6 linked regions of the Canis lupus familiaris genome follow. The protein of the gene in region 1 interacts with the protein of each later gene in a pairwise test. Links are inferred from orthologs where the notes say so. Each region holds a gene or a part of one and is shown in the gene's direction. Other genes may lie near its edges.

Region 1 (5,218 bases):
TCCACAGAGACCCCGACTTCGGCAGTTATGACTTTCTCGACTGAAGCGCCCGGTTGGCGAGCCCACTCGTTTGTCATCGATCCCGGCCCCCATGCTTCCTGCTGCGTTAAAACAGCTCCCTCTTACACTGCGATTCACCATCCGCGTGTCGGAGTCCACGCTCGCCAACTAGAGAGTAAAGATCCTAGAAATCACAAGCCCAGCTTCCCTGCTTCCTTTTTTAGAGGGTGCGAACGCACCGCCGAGGGGCAAGGCAGATTGTATCCCAGAAGCACGAAACGATGCAATGTGTCCGTTTCCATAGTAACTTCAACATCCCTTCTTCTCTCGGGGCTCATAGGGATGGAGTGTAAACTGAGGCAAGGTTTTTCTTTTTCCCTTGCTTGGCGGGATGCGTGTTAGAAACAGCAATCCTCCTTCAGCCTAGCTGGCCAAAGTGTGGTTGGAACCCAGAGCCCCCGAGCGGCCGCCCTGGGAAGGCCAAGAACCCAGTGAAGACCTCCCCGATCCCCCTTCAACATGCATGGGGGTTTGCAGTGCCCAGTGGCAGCCCCGCCTCATCTCTGTTCCCTGCCCCAGACAGACGCCAGCCTTTTCCTGGCTCCTCACCATGGACCGTGAGCGGCAGGGAAGCCGGGTCCCTCGGGCTCCACTGGGTCCCACCTCCCCCGGGGGGTCGTCTCTGAGTCCCCAGCGCCATTCCTCCTCCCCGTACTGTCCTTACCCTGGTTGGAACTTCTAGCCTCAATCTCAGATGTCAAGTGGAGGGGGGATCAGACTTAGTTCAAGAGTTTCTAGGGAAAAGAGTGGGACCAAAGAATGAAGAAGGGGGCACATTGCCGCCCAAAACCCAAAAGGCCGCCCTGTGCCAGAGGGACAGACGGGGAAGACAAGGTTCACTCGGTGGGGAGGGGGCGGGGTAGCCTGTAAGTCCTGATGTTGCTTTGCCCCCCACCAGCCGCGTGGAAGGGAAGCCCCTAAGGTCCCCGCCCAAACACCGGGGAGTCCTTCCTGCCTCCACTTCCGCCCTCGCCGGAGACCTGAGGTTGTTAGATGTCCAGGCCGCTTTGGAAACCCACTTGCGTCTGCGGGTTCCCTCTAATCCCTGGACACCGAGCCCCCCGAGCCCCAAATCTGAAGCCCTCTCCTGCTGCTGACTGCTGGGGCCTGGGCCAGGGCTGTGCCCGCTGACTCCTCAGGCCCCCTCCAGCCGACCCCGTGCCCCTTGTGCCCTCCCCTTGCCCCCACCCCACTTCTCTGGGGCTGGCAGGGACGGGGCAGGCGGGCCGCCCAGCCCCGAGTAATTGAAAGGAGCAGATGAGAGGGGAGCGTGTGTCCTCCCCCACCTCCCCTGCCTCCTGGGGGCCGCAGAGAAATGAAAACTAATCGAATTACAGCAACGGCCTCCCTCCCGGTGCACAGGAGCCGCCCGGGCCGGGGCAGGCGGGCTGGCCGGGCGGGGGCTGGGGAGAGGGCAGGGGAATCACATCTAATCCACTGTAAACGTCTTGATGTGCAGCAACAGCTTAGGGGGGGCTCAGGTTTCTGCGGCATCGGCTATATTTATCTCTGGTTCCATGCCAGCGGGGAGGGTTTAAATGGCACCCAGCAGTTGGCGTGAGGGGCTGTAGGAGCTTGGGGGCCGGTGGCAGGAGCAGGTCCTTTCCGACCCCATGGAGCTCTATGAGACGTCCCCCTACTTCTACCAGGAGCCCCACTTCTATGACGGGGAGAGCTACCTGCCAGTCCACCTGCAGGCCTTCGAGCCGCCGGGCTACGAGCGGACTGAGCTCAGCCTGAGCCCCGAGGCCCGGGGGCCCCTCGAAGACAAGGGGTTGGGGACCCCCGAGCACTGCCTGGGCCAGTGCCTGCCGTGGGCGTGCAAGGTGTGTAAGAGGAAGTCGGTGTCGGTGGACCGGCGGCGCGCGGCCACGCTGAGGGAAAAGCGCAGGCTCAAGAAAGTGAACGAGGCCTTCGAGGCCCTGAAGAGGAGCACCCTGCTCAACCCCAACCAGCGGCTGCCCAAGGTGGAGATCCTGCGCAGCGCCATCCAGTACATCGAGCGCCTGCAGGCCCTGCTCAGCTCCCTCAACCAGGAGGAGCGGGACCTCCGCTACCGGGGCGGGGGCGGGCCCCAGCCGGGGGTGAGTGGCTGCTGGTCCCTCGCAGCTGCCCCGGGGGGGTGGGAGGCCGGTGCCCGCGCGGGGCCGGGGGGGGGGCGATGCTGCAGCAGGCGCCGGGGGGGCCTAGACACGGCGGGGGCCCCTCGGCAGAGCCGGGCTGCCCAGCTAACCCGTGTCCCTTTGTCCTTCAGGCCAAGCTGGGGGCGGCGGGGGGACCTGGAGGCGGGGGGGGGGGCGGGCGTCAGGAGGGAGGCGAGGGTGAGTCCGGAGCCGGCCTGGGTGGGGGCGAGGGTGAAGGGGGCGTGTGGCCCAGCGCCCCGCTTGCTGCAGCCGCGTCCCTCACCTCTGAGGCTCCGGAAAACCAGGGACCCCTTCGGCTGGGTGGCCTGGGAGGACAGGGCCACGGCCAGAGACGGGGGGCAGGAAAGGCCCGGAGGCAGGGGGCGTGTGGCCAGCGGGGGCACAGTCTCCGACGAGGCCCTGGGGCCCACCCCCCACCCCGCGGCGGCGACAGAGGGACGGAGGGACGCCAGCAGTGGCCGCGCTCTGACCTCGGGCTTCGCGTCCTGCAGGTGCCCAGTGACTGCAGCTCCCACAGTGCCTCCTGCAGCCCCGAGTGGGGCAGCACCCTGGAGTTCGGCCCCAGCCCCGGGGGTGAGTGAGCCCCGCACCCCTCAGCCCAGGCCTCTGCCTCACTTCCCGCCCCAGGCCTCTCCCTGCCGAGGCTGCCTCCCGAGGCCCAGGAGCCGGGGAGCCGGGGAGCAGGCCAGGCCTCCTGCCCCTCCGCGCCCGGCGGTCCCCAGGGTGCACAGGCGGCTCCACTCACACCAGCGGGGAGGTCACGGGCGGGGGAGGGGGGTTGGGTGCTCAGCAGGCACACGGACGTACACGCACACCCGCACCCCCTCCCTGCAGGCCCGGGAAAGGCAGGGCCTGGGGAGCAGGAGCCCCGGCTCCCACCCAGCCACCATCCTGGAGCACCCATGCCACTCCGAGGGCCCCGTCACCCCCGGGTAACACCCTCCCGTCTCCCCGCAGACCACTTGCTCGCCACCGACCCCTCGGACGCCCACAACCTGCACTCTCTCACGTCCATCGTGGACAGCATCACGGTGGAAGACGTCTCTGCGGCCTTTCCGGATGAAGCCATGCCCAACTGAGGGCGCCCGTGAGCGTCCCCCCCTACCCCCCGCTGGCCGCAGACGCCTTCCTAAGCCGGGCTGTCCTGATGCCAGAGAGCCAGCCCGGGGCTGCCAAGCGCCAGTCTCCCCCCCCCATCCATATAAGGCCAAGTCACCGTCCCCCCAGAGGGGTGGCCGCTCTCCCAGCTGACTCCTGAGGGCAAGGAGCAGCCTGTCTCCAGGGAGATAAGCAGGGACCAGAGGGCCCCTCGTGTGCCCCGTGTGTGCCCCAGGTCAGGGGCCAGACTCAGGAGCTCCCCTTTGTTCCTGATGCTCCACCTCCTCCCTCGATAGAGACTGCGAGAGGCGAGCTGGTCCTGACCAGGACGAGCTGTGCGCCTCCCGCGCTTGTCCCTCCCGATGCCAGCGGCTGGGCTGGGCCTGCCCTGCACTGGGAGACAAGGGAGGGGGACGATCCTGCTCCTGGGTCCCGGGGGGGTGGGGTGGGGCAAGCTTTGCAGTGAATCCTGGGAAACTTCCAGTGGTTTCATGTCTTGTGTTTGCGATGCTGCCATCTGACCAAGGTCTCCTGCGTACGAGTTGCCAGGGACAGGCAGGGAGGGGGGCAGGGGTCTTGGGTGATTTCCTTTCTTAACTAAGCATCGTGTGGTTTTGACATTGTTTTGTAATTTTTTTTGCTAACTTATTTGGATTTCTTTTTTAAAAAATGAATAAAGACTGGGTGCTAGGAGAGCGTCCTGTGTTGATGTCGGGGGGTGGTGCCCGCCAGCCCGGCCGTTCCCCTCGATGGTGTAGACACAGCCCCAGGGTGGGGAACTCCCAGGGCCTGCACCTGGTGGGGCTCTGAGAGCAGCTGAGGCAGCACTTTGCTGGTCCCACCAGCTGCTGGGAGCCCGGCTCCTTACAAAGGCCACTGGGTGTGGCCCACGGGGTGGGTGAAGGCCAGACCCATGGACGCCTCGAGACCTGGAGAAGGGCCCGGCCGGCACTGGGGGCCCCCCTGGTTCGTGGACACTAGACCGTAGACCGTGCACCGGGTATATGAGCTCCACCTTAAACCCCAGGACCCGTTCCCTTCCACCCATGGGCATGCCCTGTGCCCAGCTCTCATCCCACAGCCAGCTTGCAGAGTGATGGATGGGAATTTGTGGGTCTCCCGTCCCTCACCCCTGCCTCTCCTCTGGCCTGAGGGTCCAGGAGCCCTGCAGGGGGGAGGTGAATAGGTCGGTGTGATTGATTGGGGTCAGACGCCGTCACGTCCGTGCAGGCCACCCAGTCTTTCCTCTCTGCATCCTGCCAGGCCCCTGCCCACGGCTGGAGGATGGACGCGGTCATGGGTGCAGGGGCAGGGCCCCAAAGGACAGTCAAAGGGAGGGAGGCTGGGCTTGTGTTCATGCGCCGCTTCCTTCCAATGACTGGCCGAAGGGAGGAGGTGGGGGAGGGCGGGGAGTGAGAATACAAGCTGAGGCTGAATGGACTGCGCACGTCTATGAAAGTCTTACTAACTCCAACTGCTTTAGGCTGAATTTGTCTGATTTATTGCAAATTATAAGTTTGAGAATCATTAAGGAGTCTGGGGATCCAGAGCGTGACACGGTCCGGCCCCCACTCAATTCTTCGGGGCCCCCGATGGTGGACGGGAGCCAGTTTTACCTCCCGCCGGGCCCCCGAACCCGGGCCTCTGTGCGTCCATCAACCAGCCGGGCCCTGTGCGTCCATCTGCCCCATGGTGGGAGCTTCTCCTTGAGCTTGTGTCATTGGGTTTACAGTCCCCCGTCTTCTTGGAAGGACAGGAGGACACCCGCGTCCTGTGCACGATGGAGCACCCTGGCTCGCTGCCCTCGGAGCCGAGCAGAGCCGCGAGCTGGTGCAGATCACATTCACCCCCCAATGGCTGCTGCCAACACTGCATGTGCCACGGGCCCGGCTCCCCTCAAGCTCCCCTCCGCTGCC
Region 2 (5,164 bases), on another chromosome or scaffold:
TTAACTGGTTAGAAAGGAGAGACCCCGGTTGGTTGGTTTTTGTCTCCTCCTCCTTTCTTAGGGGGAGGTGCTAAAGAGCAAAGAAATCACCAAAAGACAGGCCGGAAGAAGGAAAGCGAAAAGCATGGAGTCTGGACAACTAGACGTTAAGTAACTGAGAACTATAACCAAATGATAGGAAGTTAGGAGGGAGTTACCTGTTAAACACCTCCCTGTAACCCCAACTCACCTGAGCGGCTCAGACTTTACCAACCTGGCTGAAGGTACAGCCACACTCCAACTCGCCTCTCCTCAAGTATTCGCCGGTACAAAGGCACGGAAAGAACTCTTCCTGACCCTCGCCAGTAGTAGCGCCGCAAAAACAACTCTGAGGCTGGCCGCGGCCACGCTGGCCGGGCAGTCCCTGGGCCAGCGAGGCCACCGGAGCCCCTCCCCGCGGGGCAGGGGACCCCCCAGACCACCGCCCCGCCCCTGAGGTACCAGATCCCTCCCTCCAGGCCGGACGAGGAGCAGCGACCGGACCGAGTCTCGACTGAAGAACCCGCCGCCGCCGCCGAGGCCCTCCGCGCCCGTCCGCAACTGCGGTCGCGGCCCCGTGCCGCCCATGCGGGACCCAGGCCCGGGGCCCCGCGGGGCCGGGCGCGAGCCTCGCCCCCGGCCGCCCCGCGCCGGCGGAACCCGCGCGAACCCCTGAGCTGCGCCGGACGCCGCCGTGCGGACCCAGTCACTGGCTACCTGTCTTCGCTCTTGTTTTTCTGCTTCTTCCCCATCGTGTGTCAGCGGCGCTCGCGGCCCCAGCCCCTCTCTTCGGTCTCTCACAGACCCGCTGTCCCCCAGCCGACTTCGGTCGCTCCGCGGCTCGGCTCCCCTCGCGCTGCCGCCTCTCGCACCCGGCTCTCCACAGCCCCGCGCACTGGGACAGGGCACATATGGTGTGAGCGCTCAGTGCGCAAGCGCATCGCCCCGCCGCCTCGGCGTGGGGACGCAGGGCGCGGCTCATCGAGAGCTGCGCTTCGGGTAGAGCGTCTCCGGCAGACCCGCCGCCAGGCGGGACCCGAGCGCCCCCTTTCCGCAAGCGTCCGCCGCGCGCGGGTAACAGCTGCGTCTCCTGGTTCTAGAACTCGGAGACAATGAGGCTGAAAATCCCCCTCGTTAGCTCCAGCTCAGCGGCGGAACGCAGACTTGGAGTTTGGAGCTCTGTTCCGAAGTCAGCCTTGCGCTTTGCTTCCACCTCTCTATCTTCGTATTCTCAACCGCACGCGGGTCACTAAAGAACCGCGATGAGCCGGTGATAGGCACTCTAGGTCATATATCGAGGACACATTGGGCCTCTCGATAACGTCCATGAATTATCAAGTCCGTTCGGTCACTAAAAAACAATGACCGCGAACGAAACAAGGACACACCGTTAGTTCCCCGAACTAGATCTTAGTCTTAACGCTCAAAGCGACAGCAATATCTAAGAATTTGTTAGGGAAGTCAAAAGGGAACCTACTAGGATAGAAAACACGTTCAATGTCTGGATCTGGACGGTGTTAACTATGTAAAAACTAACCGTGCTCTGGAAGTTATACCTCAACTTAAAAAAAAAAAAAAAAAAGTTCATTAAACACAAAGGAAGTGAAGTTGGGATGTCACTCCGGAGCAAGATCGTAGCCATCCCGTTTCTGATGTAACATGACGTGTCCTGAGGCTCCGAGCCTAAGAAAGTCCGACGCGGCCAGGCTGAGCACTGACGAACTACAACCTCCAGCATACTTTGCTCCCCGGCGCGTGGGCGGCCGACCAAGAGCCAGGCTAAAAATCGGAAACCTCCGGGGGGGGGAGGGGAGGAAGGGAGCTGCGCACGCGCAGAGGCGCTCCCCGCACGCACGCCCTCCTCCCCCGCCCCACTTCCTCGGGCGTCTCAGGTTGTATCGCGTGAGGGCCGCAGCCAAAGGGGAGGCGGAAGTGACGGCCGGTTCGCAGTCACGGGCAGCTGCTGCGAGGGTGAAGCCAGACTGGACTGCCTTCCTGGAGCGGCTGGTTCCTCACTTCTCCGGTGTCACCGAGAGCTCAGGTGAGGCAGAGGATGGTGTTAAAAAAAACCGGCCACCGCCTCCCCGTGCTGATGGACACTTCGCCACTCAACATCCGGCCCGGGCGGGGGAGGGGCGCGGCCCAGACGTCGGTGTCGGTGAGGCGGAGGCGGCTTCGGCGCATGCGCCGCGGGAGGTGTTGAAGTCGGGGCCACCTGCCCTCAGCCTTCGGCTGTCCCTGGGGCTCTGGGAGTGGCGGGGAAGCCTCGGGGGGGGGGCGCGGTTCCTCGGGTGCAGTGAAGGTTGTTTGGACGGGTGCGTGTAAGGGAGTCAAGGAAACGGTTAGGTGATTTGAAGACAAGCCCCTTCCGACCGTTCCCGATGAACAGTAAAAAGGAATCGGGTTTGTGGTTTGAAGGATGAAAAGTCATCAGGATCGCTACACCATCTCCCTTCCCTTTTGTGAATGTGGTGACCACCGTCACCTGTCCCCAGAACAGCTCGTGTTACTGGCTTCTGTCCCCAGTTATCCCAGAATTAAATTCTGAGTTCAGTCTCCTAAAACTTCAGGGATAAGCATCCGCTGTAGCTTTAGTAAGAACAGGTTCTGACATATAACTTAGTGTTTTGATAACCAGTTTTCTGCCTCATCCGGCCCCAGCCCTAAGGGAAACAGTCGTACTGACGTTTTTCTTTGGAGGTAGGAAGTGTGAGATTATTTTTACCATATTTGAAATGCAATTCCTTAAAAATACATAGCATTTATGAGGAGCTTACAGTTTGTTTATTTTTTTTTTATTTTATTTATTCACGAGAGAGAGAGAGAGAGGCAGAGACACAGGCAGAGGGAGAAGCAGGCTCCATGCAGGGAGCCCGACGTAGGACTCGATCCCGGGTCTCCAGGATCAGGCCTTGGACTGAAGGCGGCGCTAAACCGTTAAGCCACGCAGGCTGCCCAGTTTGGTTTTTTTTAAGTCAGATACTTTTGAAACTTAAGGATAATTTGAACAAAAAGTAGGCACATGTTCATTCAAAAGTTTTTTTTGAGCACCAGCTGTGTTCCAAGCATTGCTAGCTCTGGGGATACAAAAATGAAATCAATTGTGCTTTTCATCTGCTTTTCCTGCGAAGAAAAAAGAAAAGTGAAGTTTGCAAGACTACTACTTTTGATTTCAACAGTTGTAGAGAGTTTGCGTGGGCCAGGCTATATGTCAGTAACTTGGTCAGTGAGTTCACGGTTTATTAAGATTTTCTTCAGTAGTATTTGCAATCGTGTCATAGTTGAGATCAACAGCTTCCTGCTTTCATAAGCAAGTTATAAATTATATTTCTGTGGTAATAACCCATGGGTACACATAAAATTTCCATCTGTTGCTGACAGAAAATATTACATCTTATAGAATGTGTAATTAAGATAGAATTTCCTTTCCTATCTGAATTAGATTGTTTTTAAACTCCTACCTTACATAAAGGAGTGTTAAAAAATCAGTATTTTTAACACTTGGAGTGATACTGTTTCACATCAAAGTTAAGAACACTGTCAGTAGATCCGTACCAGTATTGATCTTTTGTTAGGGCATTGGAGAAAAGTAGTGAAACTAAAGTTTGGGGAACACCAGGCGTAAATTGTTCTTTACCTAATTTGTACATAAATTGTGATGCAGTTTCTCAGAGGTTAAATGAAAATCATTTAGGTAGAGACCTTGAAAAATACGTTGTTGGCTCAACTCTGTTCTATACTGAAGCAAAGTTTGTTTTGTAGATGTATATGTAAAACCTCACTGCACTTAAACTTTACCACATCATTATTCAGTCGTTCCTGCTTTATTTCTCTTCTGGTTTAAACAAAGAAGCACTATCAATTTATGTCACTAGGTAGAACTCCAACTACTCATTACTCTCTGGTCTTAAAGACTTGTTTTTGCTTTGTTGTAGTGAAGCACAAACTAAATCAGAAGCACCTAACCTTTGTTCTAAGTAATATTTGAGTGGTGTGACTATAACCTATTGAAAATTCAATTTTAAAAGATTTCAATAAGGGATGTCTTGGTGGCTTAGTCAGTTAAAACGTCCAACTCTTGATTTCAGCCCAGGTTTATGATCCCAGGATTGTGAGACAGAGCCCTGAGTCGGGCTCTCACCGAACACACAGCCTGCTTAATATTCTCCCTCTCTGCCATCCCCTCCCCTCCCTCCCTCAATCAATCAATCAATAAAAACATTTAAGTAAAAATTCTTTTTTTTTTTAAGATTTAATTTATTAGAGACAGAGAGGCAGAGGGAGAAGCAGGCTCCATGCAGGGAGACCGATGTGGGACTCAATCCCCGGTCTCTAGGATCACGCGTGGGCTGAAGGCAGCACCAAACCGCTAAGCCACCAGGGCTGCCTTAAGTAAAAATTCTTAAGTGTAACACAAAATGTTTGGTTGTCAGAACTCTTTGTAGAGTACAAATTATACACTTGCTAGAATTTTTTAAAATGAGAGAAGAAACTTTACCTTTTTTCTCCCCCCAACTTTGCAAACTTTCTCCCTAGCACCAAGGCTGAACTGTACCATTTAGAAGAATGGAAGCTAATGCATCTGTTGACATGTTTTCAAAAGTCCTGGAAAATCAATTGCTTCAGACCACCAAACTAGTAGAAGAACATTTGGATTCTGAAATTCAGAAACTGGATCAGATGGACGAGGATGAATTGGAACGCCTCAAAGAAAAGAGACTTGAGGCGTTAAGGAAAGCTCAACAGCAGAAACAAGTAACCTCTCTGCCCTGCTTTCTGAAATTACTTTAACAGTATGCTCCTAACAACTTATATATACATGTGCTGAAGTACTTTTATATTTCAGTCCTCATTTCTAGAGTTGTTTTCATTTTTTGCTTCAGAGTACTATCACTGTTAAAAATGTGCTGGGAAAAAAAATAGTTTTAAAGCGCATTAAAAATTAGTTTGTTCAGTATGTTAATCTACAGTCGAGTAAAAGAAACATGCACCCAAGATCGTGTTTTGAGCTCAGATTGGTTGGTTGAGGAGAGAGTGGCCTAGGTAGAGCATAGGAAGCACTGTCAGTGGTTTTCCTTTTAGGTGATTAATTGTAAAGCCAGTTATAATTTAGCTGTACTCATTGTAAGTGAGGCGAGAGCTGTAA
Region 3 (5,243 bases), on another chromosome or scaffold:
CATCTGGGCCCCAGCAGGGTGTCCAGGACCTCAGAGGGAGACAGCAGTGATGCGGGAAAGGCTTGAGGCTGGCAGCCAGGAGACCTGGGTTCTGGTCCTTGTGCGGCCTACTGCTCATGGGTGGGTATGGCAGCTCTGCCTCACTGGGCCCATGCTTCCCTTCCGGAAGTGTGGGTGACAGTGGCCTTCCCCTTCACCATGAGCTCTCTTGGCTGCTATTTTCTATCGCTAATCTTTTCAGTGATCTGTTCTTTAGCATTAATAATTTCCTCTATACACTAGCTGGGTCTCCCTTTGCAAGTCTGGTTAACTCCTTTGTCATAGTGTTCTTGGGCTGTTATAACAAGATACCAGAGATGGGGCAACTTAACGTGTTTCTCACAGTCCTGGAGGCTGGGAAGTCCAGGATCAAGGTGCCAGCCAGATCAGTTCCTGGCGAAGTCTAACTTGCCACCTTTTCTCTGTGTTTGAATAGGGCAGAGAGAGAGAACTACAATGTCTCCTCCTGTTCTTACAAGGGCACTATTCCTACCCTCCTGGCCTCCCAAAGACTCCCATCTCCAAATACCACACCGGGTGCTAGGCTTCAGCATTTGAGAGGGACACAATTTAGTTCAGAGCTTCTATCTGCGGCATTATGTCCAACCTAAGTTGACTGAGTATTGATGGGAGGGGGCGGGGGGGAGTCACCAGCTAATAGGTGTTTCCAATCTTGGCCTTACACCAGCCCTTCTCTGTACCTATTTAATTCTTTGTATCATGACTCCCTGTCAAGTCCCCTACAGTAGCTATTTCAAATTTTATTCCATTCTTTATCCTTCATAGCATCCTTCCTGCCCTCAGCAGACAACCTTAATCCTTAATTTCCTGAGATGACACAGGCTATGAAGCACAACCCCCTTCAGTACCCTTTCTGTCTGTCTCAGGAAGAGTCACCTCCAGCTAAGGCAAATTCTTTATCTCCTCTCTTACTCTTCAGCCCCTTAAATGGAGCTCCTGCTAAGTTCTATTTTCAGAACCTCTTCTGTGTTATGAGTGGCTGCCCATTCAAACCTTTCTCCAGGCCGTTGTGGGGTGGAGCGTTGGTAATGTCTTAAGCATCCACCCTCTGAGGGGCACTGTGCCAGGCATGCAGAGTCGCGGCGTGGAGATGACTGCCACCCACCCGCCATAACTAGGCAAGCTGCGAATGATGCGTTGAGATAAAAAGCAGCATATCTTCTGCAGTTTCAGAAGAGTATGAGCCAGACTTTGACGAAGTTACACTTCATGTTCTTCCATAAATGTGCAGATTTACTTCATTCCCTTAAAGGCACCCTAGTATCCCTATGGTCGTGTATTCAACGTGGTCTCTGTCAACAGACAATTCGTTTTGTTATCTTTGGCCGTTATGAACAGCGCTGCAGGGAGCGCCCCCGAACCTGTCTTCGCTTACGACTGCGGGCATTTTCGCAGTATGAATTCCTAGAAGTGTTACTGTTGAGTGGAGGGCGTGCGCACGTTCTGCCAATTCCCGCCCGCGCCTGGCTGGCCCCGGTGCGCTTACGGCCGGTGGGGAGTGTAGAACGTGCGGCCCAGAGCCGCGGCGGCCTCCGGGCGACAGGCGGCGCTGTAAGCGCGAGGCGGCGGCGGTGGCGGCGCGGGCCGCGCTGGTCCACTTCCGGCGGCGCGGGCCGCGCTGGCCCACTTCCGGCGGCGGCGGCGGCGGCGGCGGCGCCGACGCCGAGTCCCAGCGGGCGGCGGGCCGGGGGGCGCCATGCCGTATGCCAACCAGCCCACCGTGCGGATCACCGAGCTTACCGACGAGAATGTCAAGTTCATCATCGAGAACACGGACCTGGCGTAAGGCCCCGAGGGAGGAGGCGGGCGGCTGCGGAGCGCGGGGGGCTGGAGCCCGGGCCGGGCCGCAGAGCGGGGCGTCCGCCTTGGCAGGGGTGGGCGCGGGGTGTCGGCGTCGAGGCTGCGGCGCGCTCACGCCGCTTTGTTTGCATCCCTCAGGGTGGCCAACTCCATCCGGAGGGTCTTCATCGCCGAGGTGCCCATAATAGGTAAGCGAAAGCCGCCTGTCGTGGCCAGCCCCCTCCGCACACCTCGGGCCCTGCCCCCAGCCCTTGGTTGGGGCGGCGCGGCGGTGGCTCTGAGAACACAGCAGTGCTGGGCGTTCGCTCGGACCCTGTACCCTTGGCCCGGGGCCGCTAGGGTCCTCTCCTAACGTACGGATCGGCGCAGAGTGGACGGCAGTCTGCGTACTCGGGTGTGAATCCGTCCCGTCTGCTGCACGTAGGGAACGTAGAAGCGCCAGGCAGTGTGCTAGGAACTGGGGACCCAGAGCTGCATAGCGCGGGGTTCTTGCCCTTGTGGAGCGCACGGTGAAGTTGCAGGGCAGAGGCGAATCCACAGATGACACGACTGTGGGGCAGATGTGCATCAGCAAGCAGTTCAGGAGAAGTATGACTGCAGCGCTTGCGGTGTTTGGAGGAACGAAGATCTGCTTTAGTTCCAGCAACCCTACCTCGGGTGTTCTTTATGTGTATAAACATTACAAGTATTTTCTGAATGTTGACTCAAACTTTGGGTTGGAAAACGAAGTGTAACTTCTGGCTGCTGCACTCCCTAAGGAAATGAGCAGGCCCATTGATTGGCAAATGAAAGAACATCACAGTCTGCACTACCGTCATCCCCAGTCACTTCTTCAGCTTGGAGCTTGGAGTGCTGGTTCTCCCCCGTCCCTAGTCATTCCAAGTCTCTGGGTCTCAATTTTATCATGAGTAAAATAAGAAAGTTGTGCTTTATGATGCAGCCCTGATGTTACAAGTCTAAACGGCACTCTTCCCACAGATTCAGTTCTGCAAGTAATACTGAGCACCTGTTACATTGCAGGCCACACTGGGAAAGCCAAAGGCGTTTGAAGACCACCCTCTCTGATTTTTCAAAGCTCTGCAGTAGAGACAAGACATACACAAATACAGCACAAGGCAAAAATATGACAAATGTCTTTAGTCTGGTCAGAGTTTTGTGAGGGAGTATTAGTGTCTGTTTCGTGGAGGTCAGGCAACGCTTGGTTTATAGGAGGCTCAGAGGATCGTAACTTCCCCAAGGGAGGGTAAGGTCATGTGGGGTTGGAGGGAGTAGGAAGACAGAAAAGCTTGGCTCATGGGTCTTATCTGACTTGGGTTGGGGAAGCATTAGCGTAGGACAAAGCAGATTGGGTCCTAAATGTCTAGTCCTCTTCTGACTCCCATTCCCAGTGTCCACACCCTTTATTTGGTAGTTGGCCACTTATGAATTTGCGTATAGGTATTTTATTTATAAATGAATATGTTTTTAAGTCAAGTGTGTGTGTGGGAATACAGTCCTTACCTTTATTAGCTCGTTGCTGGTAGGAATTGAATTTGATACTTACTATGCTGTGCCCGCTGAATTCTTTAAACGTTAGTTGGTTGATAAAAAGACTTAAATTGGGTAATCTGGTCATTGCATCATAAAATGAGATATGGACCATAAGTCTGTTTTTTGTGAGATTTTCTCTATTTTAAGTGCCCATGTAGTTTGTGTTTGATTTGGTGTTGATGTGCATAGCAGACAACATGCTTCCTACAGAAATATTCAGCTCAAGGAAACATGTTCCCAATCCCATGATTAGTATCCCTTAGTATTCTCTAAGTCAGTATTTTGAGTGGGACAGCACACCTCCCCCCCCTACCCTCACCCTGCACTAAATCTGAGTAGGGAAGGGAGCTGTGTTGCATGTGGATCTTGTTAAAATGCAGATCCCTTGTCCCCACTCAAGCTGCAGAATCAGCCTCTGGCTGCCTGGCCCAGGCCTCTGTAATTTAGTAAACATCAGGTGATTTTTTAAATCAGGAGAATAACTGCTGTAAGTCTTTAAATTTGGTGGCTAAACTGCATGTTTGCTTGCCTTATTTTTTAGCCATTGACTGGGTCCAAATTGATGCCAATTCCTCAGTCCTTCATGATGAGTTCATCGCTCACAGACTTGGTGAGTGCTGGGTGTTGAAAGGTGAGAGGGAGGGGGCTGTGCCTGACGTCAGAGGAGGAAGCCTCACTCCCATAAGGATTTCTAGGTTCTCCTTTAGGCTTGGCCATTGCCATTTGGACTTTTTTTTTCTTTTTCTTTTTCTCTTTAATAAAGATTTTATTTACTCATGAGAGACCCAGAGAGAGAGAGAGAGAGGCAGGTACACACACAGGCAGAGGGAGAAGCAGGCTGCATGCAGGGAGCCTGACATGGGACTCAATCCAGGGTCTCCAGGATCACACCCTGGGCTAAAGACGGCGCTAAACTGCTCAGCCACCCAGGCTGCCCGATTTGGACTCTTTAAAGTGCATTTCTGTTTCTTCCAGGACTAATCCCCCTGACTAGTGATGACATTGTGGACAAGCTGCAGTATTCCCGGGTATGTTGTGTGATTGGGTGGAAGGGGCAGGAAGGAAGCAGCCCTCAGAGGCATTTTCCTGACCTCTTACTTCCAGCTGGAGATCATGGAGATGTTGCCTAGAGCCTAAGCAGACACAGGGCCTCAGTTCTGACAGGCCTCAGATTGTTTAGGCTTCAGGGGCATCAGGGAGTCTCTCCAGCCACACAAGATGGGGGATATACACCAGAATACCCATTTATACTCAACAGTGGGGGCAGTGCCTTTTCAGAGTCTAATCTATTCAGACTGTTTTCCAGGGTGTCCTTCTCAGTGATAGGAGCCTGGAAGGCTAAAGAGAGTCAACAGAGGGTTGGAGAGTTTGGGGGGCGGGAGGGTGAGAACAAAGAAAGGGAGTGGGAACTGTCCCCCGTGGTAGCACCTGAGAGTCTGGAAGGCTGGCATCTGCCAGATATGTGCCTCTTCCTGTAGGTAATGCTCATTAAACATGCCCCTTCCTCGAGGGTCATGTTTGTTCCCTGATATGTTAACAGGCCTTGGACTTGGCAGGAATGGGACAGGATTAAGTTCCCTGCTTCTTTTCCCCAGTGCTGTGTTAGGTAACAGTTTGAGACTCTTCTCTCTCGGTGGCTTTGGGTGATCCTGAATCAGCGCATCATCTGATATTCCCAAGGGCATGTCATTTTTGTGGTGGTAGATTTGATATATGTTATAAATCTGTATTTTTTTAGAGATATGTGGAGCTTACCTGACCAGTACTCTCACTCCTGTCAAACAACTTGTCATATTCTAACAATTTGCATGCAGATTTTTGTTTGTCAAAAATGAAATGTCACAAATATTGGT
Region 4 (4,619 bases), on another chromosome or scaffold:
ATGTCTGGGAAAGAACCAAAAAGGGCCAGTGAAGGTAAAGGGAGTGTTTTGTGCTGTCGTGTGTGGTCACCCCTATGTGCAGAGTGTGCCAGAACACATGCCTCAGGATGCGGGTTTTTTCATCCTCTTGTGTTCACGCAGACTCTCTGTGCTTCTAGCACCTGGGCCTGAAGGCCATCTCATGCATGAAACAGAACTTTCATTATAATGTTTAGAACAACAACAAATATTTAAAGGCCAATCTCCTCTCATAGTCTCTCTTTTGACAGTAATTAGGGCTACATTTGGTAACTGAGCTGAAGTGTTAGCTTTTGTGCCCCTAAAAACTAGACTCTTCTTTCTTTCTTTCTTTCTTTCTTTCTTTCTTTCTTTCTTTCTTTCTTTCTTTCTTTTCTTCTTTCTTTCTTTCTTTCTTTCTTTCTTTTTTTTATAATATATTTTTTTAAATTTTTATTTATTTATGATTGTCACAGAGAGAGAGAGAGGCAGAGACACAGGCAGAGGGAGAAGCAGGCTCCATGCACCGGGAGCCCGATGTGGGATTCGATCCCGGGTCTCCCAGGATCGCGTCCTGGGCCAAAGGCAGGCGCCAAACCGCTGCGCCAACCAGGGAGACATTCTTTCGTTCGTTACTTGGCGGAGGGAGGGGGAGGGAGGGCGGGAGGGAGGGAGGGAGGGGACGGGAGGGGGGGGGAGGGAGGGAGGAGGGGGGGAGGGAGGGAGAGAGAGGGAGAGGGAGGGGAGAGGGAGGAGAGGGAGGAGGGAGGAGGAGGGAGGGGGAAGGGGAGGGAGGAGGGAGGGAGAAGGAGGCGCGGAAGGAAGGAGCAAGAAGAAAAGACGAATGAAGGTCATCCCACAATCATCATCTCCATTTCTTTTATTCCTTTTCTTTCCTTTTCTTTCTTCTTCTTTCTTTCTTTTCTTTTCTTTCTTTCTTTTTTCTTTTCTTTTCTTTTCTTTTTTCTTTTTTCTTTTCTTTTCTTTTCTTTTCTTTTCTTTTCTTTCTTTTTCTTTTCTTTCTTTTTCTTTTCATTGTGATCAGCCCCACCATTTAGCATGTTTTGGGGCTGGAGTGGTGCAGAGCTTTGGTCTTTGGAGCAGGAGCCTTGTACTGTCCCGTAGTTGATGCATCTGCTCCCCTGTTGGCATTGCACGGTGACACACGTGATGGGCATTTCAGTGGATCCTTTCGTGTTCTTTAGGGCTCGGGGGGGAGGTCAGCTGCCCCACTTCTGGCTGCCTACCTTTCTCTGGGCTGCTGGCAGAGAACAGGAGTGCTGGGACCCGGCCCTGCTTGTTGACTGGGCGCTGATCCTTCTCGTGTACTTTAGATCCTGGCTGGTCCTGCAGCACAGATTAGCCCTACGTACCTAGATGCTAAAGAACAATAAAGCAGTCCGGAACAGGGTCCTTTCTTCTGAGTCTTGTGTTTGTTGTTCCCTAGGAAGCTGAAAATACTCTGCGCCTGATGCAGAACAAGCTGAAGGAGGAGGAGAAGCGCCTGCTCAGGAGTGGAAGTAAGGCCACACTCTCAGACAGGGCTGTTTCCTCTGTGCCAGTGTTGGTATTCCTGAAAGAAATCTGTATGTATATATTATTTATTTTCAAAAGGCAGTTTTCTCACATGTTCTATATCCAGTACTCTTTTCGCTCAAGAGCTCAAGAGGTTGGTTCAAATTACATAGTATTTAAAGCACATCTGGTTTTCTTGTCAACTAAAATACTGTTTTCCCATTTCAATGATACTGTTAGTTTGAATTGCATGTAACATATAACCATGAAAGAAAACTGGGTCTTGGGGGTCTGTAGGGTCCTTATTTTAGGGCAGACTGATAGAAAGCAAGTGCCATAGTGCTATGCCCATGAAGCATGAAGGGGTCACTTCCTTAGGGTCCGTCCCCCTACCATCATAGCCATCATGTGGCCCCCAGTAATCCAAGATGGTCCAGTGAGGCTGTCAGCTGGTGGGGACTGCTGCTTGTGACTGGTTAGCATGCTTCATCTACGAACTTCACCAAGGTGTCAGGTCAGCCTCAGGAGTCACAGCAGTACATGGTCTTCATGCTGCATTCACAGCCCTGTCTCAGAGTTCTCCTTCTCTTGAAAGGGATGATATACTTTTTTATGACGATATACTTGATTCTCCTGTGCTTGAGGACTTCAGGCATGTATATAGGACTTCAGGCATGTATACCCACGGTGGCTCTCTCTGTCTTTGTACTTTTCTCCTCTGTACTTGTCCTATGCCTCTTCTAATCTCAGGAAGCTCTGGAAGGACAGTAAGGACTTCGGGGAGATCCTTTAGGGGCAAGTTTAGGGAATTCCCAGGGCCTCTCTAGCCGAAGCAGCCCCTTACCTTTATGGTTCCAGGTGAGCCAGGAGAGCCTGAAGCAGCCCTAAGTGATAAGCCTGCATGGGATTTATCCCCTCTTGAGAGGCCTGGCACAGGTAAGAGCCCTGGTTGGTTGGCTGCACCCTGCTCTGTCCCCAGACCAGCATGTAAGACTTTCCTCACTGATATTGTTTTATTCTTCTAAACTCACAGTTTAATTTTGTGATCCATAGATTTGGGATCTCTTGAAGGACAAGCATTCATAGGAGCATCTCTGATTTAGCTTTTTTTGGAAAAGTAATTTCCATTTGAAATAAACTGAATGAAGGATAGCACTTAATTAGCTTGGGGTGGGCAAAGAAGTTAGGAAAACATGAAGACTCATTCTCAGTTCTGTTCATCCCAAAGTTCTTAAGATGTTCTGTTTTTCTTTGCTGTGCTATATATGTGGGAGCATTGTTCAGAGAATTGGGATCAGGGGAAGATATATAAAGGAAGACTTTCTGAAAGACTTCTCTGAACAGAAAAACCTAATAGGACATGGACATGATTAAGAGCAAGAATGAGCAAAATTCAGGAGTGATAAGAGATTGAGTGCAACAAATCATTGTTGAAGATCTGTTCTGGATGCGAAGGATTCACTAGTGGATGAGAGACAGGGATCCTTGCTTTAACCAGTCTGCTTGCCAGTGAGAGGACACAAACACTGAGCAAGCTGAGAGCAGAAGGTGACCCTGGGGTTGGGGGGAAAGTAGAGCAGAGAAAGGATGGAGAGGGTGGGATGGAATTGGATTTTAAATAGGGAGTCAGTGTAGGCTTCGCTTAGGAAGTACTATTTAGGGCAGTCCTGGTGGCGCAGCAGTTTAGCGCCGCCTGCAGCCCAGGGTGTGATCCTGAGATCCGGGATCGAGTCCCACATCGGGCTCCCTGCATGGGGCCTGCTTCTCCCTCTGCCTGTGTCTCTGCCTCTCTCTCTCTCTCTGTATCTCTCATGAATAAATAAATAAATAAAATCTTTAAAAAGAAAAAAAAAAGGAAGTACTATTTAAGCAAAGCTAAAATAAGTGGATCTGGGGAGAAAGGAGCTACCAGTTGAGGAGAGAGAGACCTGAGAGTCTGCAAGAGAGTGGGGACCAGAGCTCAGTGAGGCGATGAGTTTGGAGGAAGGGACTTGAGGAAGAGAAAGTCTGAGTGCTTAGAGACAGGAGAATGCCCTGGGGTTAAAAAGGCCAAGCATTTTGTTCTAGTACCCTGTAATAGAAGTAAGGGCAGCCTTCGTCTTCCCACTATCCTTTTAAACCTCACTGCTGGTGGTAAATCCATAAAATGACCCAGAAGTTTCTAGAAAGCACATTAGTAACCTTGTTGTGGTTTAGTTTTTATAGTATGGTGGAGAGCAGATGTTCCTGCATTTAACACTTAATTTACTGCATGCCTACTGCATGTCAGGCATTTTGCTGGCACTTAGAACATAGTGATGAGTGAAGTGCTCACGGAGCTCAGAGTCTAGAACTGTGCCACCCAGTAACTGGCCATAAACCATGTGTGACTCTTGAGTACTTTCAATGTGGCTGGTCCAAATTGAGGTGTGCTGATTGTGGAAAATATACAATAGGTTTCAATGACTTAGCATGAAAGAAAGTAAAATTATTCATTAATTAGTATTTTATGTTGTTTACTTATTGGAATGATATTTTGGATATATTGGGTTAAGTAAAACAGCACTAAAATTAATTTACCTATTTCTTTTTACTTTAATATAGTTAATAGACAATTTTAAATTATATATCTGCCAGCTGGTATTACATTTCTTTTTTTTTTTTTTTAATTTTTTTTTTTTATTTATGATAGTCACACACACACACACACAGAGAGAGAGAGAGAGAGAGAGAGAGAGAGAGAGAGGCAGAGACATAGGCAGAGGGAGAAGCAGGCTCCATGCACCGGGAGCCCGATGTGGGATTCGATCCCGGGTCTCCAGGATCGCGCCCTGGGCCAAAGGCAGGCGCTAAACCACTGCGCCACCCAGGGATCCCTGGTATTACATTTCTTTTGGACTGTGCTGATCTGAAAGGAGACACAAATAGTTAAGTGGGCGTGAAGTATATCTCATTGTGATTTTGATGTGAATTCCTCTGATAGCTAATGAAATGGAGCATCTTTTCATTGCTTAATGGCCATTTGTATAAATCTTTGGAGAGGTTTATTCAAGTCTTTGGACATTTTTAAATTGGGTTATTTTTTATTTAATTATTGAATTGTAAGAGTTCTTCTGTATATTCCGGAT
Region 5 (4,619 bases), on another chromosome or scaffold:
GGCTTCATGTAGGGAACCCAATGTGGGACTCGATTCTGGGACTCCAGGCTCACGCCCTCAGCCAGGGGCAGGCGCTAAACCCTTGAGCCACCCAGGCGTCCCTAGAGTGGGAAACTCTTAATCTCACGGTCATGAGTTCAAGCCCCACATTGGGCATAGAGCCTACTAAAATAAAATAACATAACATAAAATAAAAGGATTCCACTGTGTAAAACAAGGTCCTCTTAGCATGCAGTGATTATCCTGGAGCTTCTATAACTAGGACTCCAGGCTGAGGCTGTCATTTTTCACCTAAAGAGTTCATTCTTGGGGTGCCTGGGTGGCTTAGCAGTTGGGCGGCTGCCTTCGGCTCAGGTCGTGATTCCAGGATCTGGGATCAAAGCCCGCATCCGGCTTCTGTGAAGAGTCTGCTTCACCCTCTGCCTATGCTCTGCCTCTCTCTCTCTGTGTATCTCATGATTAAATAAATAAATCTTAAAATAAAAAAAACAGGGCAGCCCGGGTGGTACAGTGGTTTAGTGCTGCCTGCAGCTCAGGGTGTGATCCTGGAGACCCAGGATCGAGTCCCACATCAGGCTCCTTGCATGGAGCCTGTTTCTCCCTCTGCCTGTGTCTCTGCCTCTCTCTCTCTCTCTCTCTGTGTGTGTCTCTCATGAATAAATAAATAAAATCTTTTAAAAATAAAAAAATAAACAATCCTCATTCTTGTATCAACAAACAACGTGCCTGCCTTCCCACATACTTCCCCAAATGAAAATTTATCTTCAAAAAAATAGAGTCTGTAGCAGAGTGTCTTCCATGTTTGTCTTCTCTTAAATGTCATATTCAAAGAAAAAGAAAAGACACATCTTTTGTACTCTGGGGTCTTCTCTCTACAGGTGGAGCAGTTCTGGAGGTTTTATAGCCACATGGTACGTCCTGGGGACCTGACAGGCCACAGTGACTTCCATCTCTTCAAAGAAGGAATTAAGCCCATGTGGGAGGTAAGCATGGAGGATCTCAGATCACTTTTCTGATTGTTTGGGGTTTTTTCTCCCTAATAAGAGTAAAAGTATTTGAAATCTTGCCTCAAAGCTACATCACTATTTGGTATATCCTTAGAGCCAGGGCCTTGGAGAAGGTACTGATGTCATTGCATGTCTGTGTCGGTGGTTTACAGAAATTGTTTATATCACTAAAATGGTATTATAACAACATTAAAGGACTTTTTTTTTTTTAATTACCCCATTCCCATCAAACTGGTTGTACATGTATGTGATATAGTACTGTAGTGTACATGTGATAGAAGCTGGTAAAAAGTAAGCTTGCTTATAGGCAGTAGTTAAAGACCCAGAGCTGAGCTCTGAGATCTCTTTGCTGTAATCCATCTTCTATTCTGATGCCAGCCTTTTTTATTTTATTTTATTTTTTTATTTTTTTTTATTTTTAAAGATTTTATTTATTTATTCATGAGAGACACAGATAAAGAGAGTGAGTCAGAGACACAGACAGAGGAGAAGCAGGCTCCATGCAGGAAGCCCAATGCGGGACTTGATCCCGGGACTCCAGGATCACGCCCTGAGCCGAAGGCAGGCACCAAATCGCTGAGCACCCAGGGATCCCAGCATTTTTTTTTTTTTTAGAAGACAAATGTGAACACACGTGCACACCTAACTACAGGCCCTTTGCAGCTCTGCATTGCTCACGTGCTCTTGCACTCACTTGCCCTCCAGGCCTCATCTCCCAGCATGCCTCAGCCTTCCCTTCAGTGTGCTAGTCTTCTTCTTTGCCTGTCTCCCTGACACACGAACCACTTTGTACACAGACATGATTTTTTTGATGCCTGCAGAGCCCTTCACCTGCTTTACTTGCCTAACTGGGCATCCCTCAAGACCCAGCTTAAAATGTTTCCTCCTGAGTGTTTCTATCTTGTTTTTCTTTAACGTAGTGTATCTCTGGTACAGCAACACTTCTCCAACTGTACTGCTCTGATTTATCCACTAGATTGGGTCTGGTAGAGACTGTGGCTTTATGTCCGTGTACTTGAGATATCGTGACACTTGGGAAACTTTTAGTGAATGAAGCGAGGAATAATCTGTGTTTGAAATCTGACATCGCTTCATTTTGATTCCTGAAATAGTTCCAAAGAGAGAGAATTGTTTTTAAAGGGTCAGTTTAGCCATTCGTTGTAATGGCTTGTACCAAGGATTCCCACCTTGTTTTTCTTTTTTTCCCATTTCTTGTCTCCCTTGTCCTACCATCATTTTTCCTATAAAGTTGAATAACTGGAAGGTGACAAGACTTTAGTGTTCAAGGGATACATGGGCTTTGATCCTGCCGGCTTTTATCATGTAAAAGTAAAAGACCTGTGAAAGCACATTTTAACTTTAATGGTTTCTTTCTTGTACAGGATGATGCAAATAAAAATGGTGGCAAGTGGATTATTCGACTGCGGAAGGGCTTGGCATCCCGTTGCTGGGAGAATCTCATCCTGGCCATGTTGGGGGAACAGTTCATGGTTGGGGAGGAGATCTGTGGGGCTGTGGTCTCTGTCCGGTTTCAGGTAAGCCACTCCATGGGCAGGTCTGGTTTCCTGTATTGCCTTTGCTCTCCTCACTTCCTCTGGTTTGCTTTGACGATTCCTTCTGTTCCTCCTATAGGAGGACATTATTTCAATATGGAATAAGACTGCCAGTGACCAAGCAACCACAGCCCGCATCCGGGATACCCTTCGGCGAGTGCTTAACCTACCTCCCAACACCATTATGGAGTACAAAACCCACACCGACAGCATCAAGTATGTGTTGGGGGTGCTCGGGGGGCATGTCCCTAAGCTTAGCCGAAATAGGTCCTTAGTTGGGCCCAGAGGGATATGTGGTTGTACAGGAGCCTGACTTACAGAGAAGGGACAGACCAATCTTCCCCTCTAGTGCTTCTGGCCACTTGTAGCAGTTGTTTGCTGGTGAGGCTCCCTGCCCACCTACACTTGGGGCACTTTGTATCAGAGAGAGCCCTTCTGCAGAATTCTGCAGAATCCCAGTTGTACTGCCTGGGCTTGCTTCATTTACACAGGCTGTCTTGTCTTTCATTCACTAACCACTATCTTAAAATGAAAGACAAAGCGCTCTTCTTTTTCTTGCTGTTTTTAAGGATAATTTCACTGAATAGTCCAGTCCTCCTCCCTGTCTGCCCCTCACCCCACTTTTGCATGTCTTTTTAACTTGTTAGTGTCAGTCTGCTTTCTTTGTCCTGGGAAATCGACTTCTTATCGGAAATGATGACTCTACTTCCTTGTGTGTAGAACTGAAATTGTAGAGGAGGCAGAATAGTGCGTTTGTGAGAGTAGAATCTAAGGGGGAAGTAAGCTTTGCGATCTACCTAGAACTCGGGGTACCTAGAATTGGATGTCCACAAATTGGAATCATAGGTTAGGGTTGCTCCTTCAGTGACCAAAGTCATAAGTAAATTCAGGTTATTTTGAAGAAGTTGTGGGGAGTGGCTGTCAGGTTTTCTCAAAACTAGAGGGAGAGCTAGCCAACTAGGAGTCAGGACTTTGAGGTTTAACTCTCTCCTTTGACTCCAGTATCAATATGTGCCTTTGGCAAGTCTCTGCCACTCTGTTTCAGTCTCCCCATCTGTAAAATGGAGGATAATAATACTTTATCTAACAGGGTTGTTGTGAGGCTGATTTAATCTTTGTAATTGAACGTCCTCAGGTGGAGAATGCTATTGCAGGGCCAAGTATTATTATTGCTGTCATCGTCATCATTAGTAATAATATCATCATCATGTTATTCTTATTAAAGACCAGTAACGAGCCCAGCGATGGTGTTCAGCAGGCAAACTATTTGGGAATCTTTTTCCCATGCATTTACAGATAACGTTGTGGGTGGAATTGGCTTAAACTAGCCAAGTGCCAGTTTTTTACTGGGAACACTGCCACAAGCATTGGTCCGCAATCACATAGCTGGCTGTGACTTCTCCGTAAACACCAACAGTTACTAGCCAGCCATGGCCCCGGTTGCTTGCCTTAGCACTCCTGAGTTAGCATTGTTTTTCTCTAGGCAGATTTCCCCCATTCTTCATTCTGGAAGAGAATAGTTTCTGCCCTCCAGCCAGTCATGGTCCAGGTTGGAAAGGTCTACACCTACTTTTTCTAGGACTCTTATGGTCAAGGTTCCCAAATGCCCCCCACCACTTCCCCAATCCCCACAAAAGCAAGCTTTTACCTGGATAGGAAAGGGAAAGAGGTATTTTTCAACTCTCCCCTCCACTGTTCTCCCTCTCTAATACCCTGAGGCAATTCTTCCTGACTTTTGTAGAAAATGTGAACAAGTTCTTACAGAGTCTAGGAGAGCCTGTGGGCTTTTTGCCTTAGTCTGCTGCTCGCTGCTTTATCAAGAGATCTGCCTAGCACTCCAGCCCTACAGCCACAGGGACCAGAAACCCTCCTTGAGTCCCAGATGCTACTTTCCCTCGCGTCTCCCTCTCTTTCCTCTCCCAATGTGCCCACCTTTTGCACTTCCACTAGAATGCCAGGCAGGCTGGGCCCCCAAAGGCTCCTTTTTCAAAACCTCTGGAAGCCGCGGTTGAATGTGCCATGACCCTCTCCCTCTCTGGATGGCACCATCATTGAAGCT
Region 6 (3,483 bases), on another chromosome or scaffold:
TGTAATGAGTACATAAAAATGTAGAAGTGGCTTTGGAATTGGATAATGGCTACAGGCTGGCATAGTTTTGAGAAACATGATAGACAATCCTAGATTACTTTGAGCAGTTAGTAGAAATACGGATGTTAAAAGTGCTGCTGGTGAGAGCTCCAAAGGAAGTAAGAAGCACAGTGGAGAAAAACCTACATTGTCTTTAGAGAAGACCTAAGTCATCATAAGTAACCTAAATATGAACATCAAAGGTGTTGCTGGTAAAGGTTTAGAAAGAAATTAGGAACAGCATAATGGAAACTGGAGAAGAGGGGATTCTTGTTATATAGTAGCAGAAATCTTGGCCAACTTTTGTCCTACAGTTATGTGGAAAGCAGAACTCATGAACAGTGAATTGAAGATTTAGTTGAGCATATTTCTGAGAAAAGTATTTGCTGTTAAGCAAAAAGGAGCCAGGACTTGAAGATAGGAGCAATTCTCAGCCTATCCAGAATGCAAAAGACATTAAAATGAGAGGATTTGCTGTCAGGAAAGTGTCTTGTGGAGATAAACATCAAGCATGTAGCTAGACACATCTTTTCTCAGAGGGATCGAAAGATCAAAGTATTCAATCAAACAGAGGGCTCTTTGAAGCAATAGGGTGTGAATCATGGATAACCTCAGCCATCTCAGCAGAAGCTAGGAATTGAGATGGCATTTTCCTGGAAGGATCTGTGAACAAGTTTCTTGTCTAAGGGCACAAATCCCCATGTAGTATGGGGTGGGGAATTACAAGATTTTTGAGTATGCTAAATCAGCAAAAACTATGCTATCTTTAACTGAGAAAATAGATGAAATGAAAGAAGGTCATGGAGCTCCCAAAATTTGACAAGAGGAAAACAGGCTGATAAAACTACTCAGCTGAAAACATGTGTTCCATTCAAAATAAAAGGAAGGTGATTTTGAGGACAGAGCCGAGGGCCTAGAGGGCAGAGCTGTGGGCCAAGATGAAGTCATGGGATCAGAAGGAGCCACAAGCTACAAAATATTATTCCCAGACCTTGAAATGTATGTAGGTTTGTCTGCTTGATCCACATTGCTTGGATCAGACTCTTTTCTTCCTGCTACTTCTCTCTTTTGGATTGGAAATGTCTTTAATTGTTACCGCTGTAAATAAACCCCAAACAAAGCAGAAACACCAACTTCGTGGAAAGGGAAATTAAAATGAGAAAAAAATAATGGGGCGCCTGGGTGGCTTACTCGGTTAAGCATCTGATTTTGGCTTAGGTTGTGATTTCAGGGTCCTAGGATTGACCCTGGCATGAGGCTCCATGCTCAGCAGGGAGTCTGCTTCTCCTTCTCCCTCTGGTTTCTCCCTGCTCATGCTCTCTTTCTCTCTCTCGGTTTCTTTGTCTTTCTCAAATAAATAAATAAAAACTTTTCTTAAAAAATGAGAATAAAATGAGAGGAAACACCTCTTGGTGCTTTGGCTTCATCTAGGACAGCCAAGAAGACACAACTGGACTTAAACTAAGTGCAAAGTACACTTCTCTCTCTAAACAATGTTTACGTGATTCTGAAAGATGCATCCATTGAGCATCTCATTATGACTTCCACAATGATCAAGAGATATTTTTCAAACAGTGTAAAATGAAGAGGCTAATACAGGTATGAAATAAACGTGTATTAAAAGATTCTATTTAATCAGTGAGGGAATGGGAAGAGGATATAACTGGTTCATAGAGAATCCAAGGATTAGATACAGGAATGTTAATCAAAAATATTTAAATGCATGTGTGAATGGAGGCAAAACTGGTTTCATTATATCATGGAAGGGGGACAATATAATCTCTACTAGACAATACATTTTACATATTTATCACTAACCTACAACTAATGAAGGATTGTAAAAGGCCTCAAAGACCATATAAGGCCAGAATCAGATAATGTAGAGTGATGTCCTAAGACGGGGAAGTTTCCCATTGGAATACACATTGATCTCTACAATGTTAAAATCAAGCAGAAAATTCTAGTTCTCTCAAAATCAGGGTCTGTTCATTAGGGTGACCAGGTTCCTGTCATGGACATTTCTGGGCTGAGGCCTGATAAGGACACAGTGGACACCAGTGACATCCCAAAGTCTATGATGTCACAATGAGGGGCCAGGGCTTAGGAATATAAATGGGCGGGGTTGACCCCTGTTGTCTTGAGAGGCACAGTGCAGCTGGGGAATCAAGCAGAGCTGATGGAGCCAAACCCTGCCAACATCATGTCAGGGAACAAAAACCATGAGAGCTCCAATCAGACTCAAGCCCATCTTGTAACAACTGAGCTGCAGTTCCCTGTGAGCTATGTGGACCGCCTCCTGCAGGAAGATCAGCGCACCCACTGCCTAAGTTCAACATCTACTGAATTCCTCCTTGCCATGCTCGACTCCCTCACCGACTACATCCTGGAGCGTGTAGGCACTGAGGCCAATAACAACAACATGCAGACTGCCCCACAAGATGTGGAGAGAGCAGTGGGCAGCAACAGAGAGCCCCAACAATGCCTGAAGGATACAGCCTTCACTCTGTTTGATGAGATGCCTAGATCCAGGAGAAATGGCTAAAGCCTGGGTCCTAGACTTGTGGGAGTCCTCACAGCCTTAGTCTAAGCCAAGACTTCTTATAACTGAGAAGTCTGGCTTCTGTCATCAGTTAATGCTATTAAAGTGTTGAAGCTCAGGGCTATGCCTCTGACTTGTCTCTGTTTCTGTCCTTCCGAGTCGGCGGGGTCTGTGAGACACCCAGGAGGAGATCTCCTGTGGGGAGTGGAGGGAGGAAGGGGTGATCAGTGTGGGAGGCTACAGTCCAGTGTTTCAGGGAGGGGTTTCTCTGGGCCCTGGGGGGGAGTAGCTGGCTGCAGAGGAGAGACTTCCTCATGGGCTCTGAGCAAGTCAAGGCCTGTGGGCTGAGAGATTGGCAGCGGGTGGGGGGCTTCCCAGGCATGTTGAGTTCCCAGAACCATGGTGGTAACTGGGAAGGTCCTGAAGCTCGTGACTGAGGTGCCAGGAACCTTATTCATGAGAAGGGAACGTGTAGAAGTCAGAAGGTGATGGCAGTGCGGGTGGATGGAGAGGATGGCAGAGCAGTTGACGTGAACTTGATGGCATGAGCTTTACGTGAAGATTGAGGGGCGATGGGGAACCCATGAAGAGGTATACAGAGTGGAACGGTGCTCAGGTTGATTTCATTCACTGATACCCTGCCTCATTCCAAAAAAGGATGTAAGACAGATAATATTAGTGCTGTGATAACGTTTTGTGGAGTATGTCCTTGTGTCCTCTCCTGTGGACACTGGTAAGTTAAGTGATTTGGCCTAAAACAAGCAATTATAAACTATCTGGCCTAAAACAAGCAATTTGGAGAGTTCTTAATACTTGCATGTCTCTCCCTCCCTAGTAGACCAGATGCTTAGGTGTACTTCTGCAAGTGCCCCTGCGCCTGGTTCTCCCGTGATTGCTGGGCTCCT

What was found.
Region 2: the proteins of MYOG (region 1) and TXNDC9 interact in binary tests that used the Homo sapiens proteins (3 or more experiments, as listed by UniProt). The two-hybrid records come from large-scale screens. The link is inferred for Canis lupus familiaris from reciprocal best matches to the Homo sapiens genes MYOG and TXNDC9.
Region 3: the proteins of MYOG (region 1) and POLR2C interact in a two-hybrid assay, tested with the Homo sapiens proteins (2 studies listed by BioGRID and IntAct). The link is inferred for Canis lupus familiaris from reciprocal best matches to the Homo sapiens genes MYOG and POLR2C.
Region 4: the proteins of MYOG (region 1) and CLUAP1 interact in binary tests that used the Homo sapiens proteins (3 or more experiments, as listed by UniProt). The two-hybrid records come from large-scale screens. The link is inferred for Canis lupus familiaris from reciprocal best matches to the Homo sapiens genes MYOG and CLUAP1.
Region 5: the proteins of MYOG (region 1) and EIF4E2 interact in binary tests that used the Homo sapiens proteins (3 or more experiments, as listed by UniProt). The two-hybrid records come from large-scale screens. The link is inferred for Canis lupus familiaris from reciprocal best matches to the Homo sapiens genes MYOG and EIF4E2.
Region 6: the proteins of MYOG (region 1) and H2AP interact in binary tests that used the Homo sapiens proteins (3 or more experiments, as listed by UniProt). The two-hybrid records come from large-scale screens. The link is inferred for Canis lupus familiaris from reciprocal best matches to the Homo sapiens genes MYOG and H2AP.

Annotation. Positions count from the first base shown.
Region 1 is NC_049228.1:241,440-246,657, forward strand, and holds MYOG (myogenin), read left to right. Parts: upstream 1-1,610; 5' UTR 1,611-1,673; coding exon 1,674-2,144; intron 2,145-2,695; coding exon 2,696-2,777; intron 2,778-3,161; coding exon 3,162-3,283; 3' UTR 3,284-3,982; downstream 3,983-5,218. UniProt on the Homo sapiens protein: Acts as a transcriptional activator that promotes transcription of muscle-specific target genes and plays a role in muscle differentiation, cell cycle exit and muscle atrophy.
Region 2 is NC_049231.1:44,389,433-44,394,596, forward strand, and holds the start of TXNDC9 (thioredoxin domain-containing protein 9), read left to right. Parts: upstream 1-1,820; 5' UTR 1,821-2,059; intron 2,060-4,554; 5' UTR 4,555-4,584; coding exon 4,585-4,773; intron 4,774-5,164. Other genes in the region: EIF5B (eukaryotic translation initiation factor 5B), read right to left, coding at 736-770. UniProt on the Homo sapiens protein: Significantly diminishes the chaperonin TCP1 complex ATPase activity, thus negatively impacts protein folding, including that of actin or tubulin.
Region 3 is NC_049223.1:58,229,848-58,235,090, reverse strand, and holds the start of POLR2C (DNA-directed RNA polymerase II subunit RPB3), read left to right. Parts: upstream 1-1,687; 5' UTR 1,688-1,756; coding exon 1,757-1,842; intron 1,843-1,998; coding exon 1,999-2,048; intron 2,049-3,931; coding exon 3,932-4,000; intron 4,001-4,365; coding exon 4,366-4,418; intron 4,419-5,243. UniProt on the Homo sapiens protein: Core component of RNA polymerase II (Pol II), a DNA-dependent RNA polymerase which synthesizes mRNA precursors and many functional non-coding RNAs using the four ribonucleoside triphosphates as substrates.
Region 4 is NC_049227.1:38,020,523-38,025,141, reverse strand, and holds part of CLUAP1 (clusterin-associated protein 1), read left to right. Parts: intron 1-1,444; coding exon 1,445-1,517; intron 1,518-2,370; coding exon 2,371-2,448; intron 2,449-4,619. UniProt on the Homo sapiens protein: Required for cilia biogenesis. Appears to function within the multiple intraflagellar transport complex B (IFT-B). Key regulator of hedgehog signaling.
Region 5 is NC_049246.1:44,382,285-44,386,903, forward strand, and holds part of EIF4E2 (eukaryotic translation initiation factor 4E type 2), read left to right. Parts: intron 1-878; coding exon 879-983; intron 984-2,389; coding exon 2,390-2,542; intron 2,543-2,639; coding exon 2,640-2,776; intron 2,777-4,510; coding exon 4,511-4,583; 3' UTR 4,584-4,619. UniProt on the Homo sapiens protein: Recognizes and binds the 7-methylguanosine-containing mRNA cap during an early step in the initiation. Acts as a repressor of translation initiation.
Region 6 is NC_049260.1:32,882,570-32,886,052, forward strand, and holds H2AP (huntingtin-interacting protein M), read left to right. Parts: upstream 1-2,161; 5' UTR 2,162-2,215; coding exon 2,216-2,581; 3' UTR 2,582-2,711; downstream 2,712-3,483.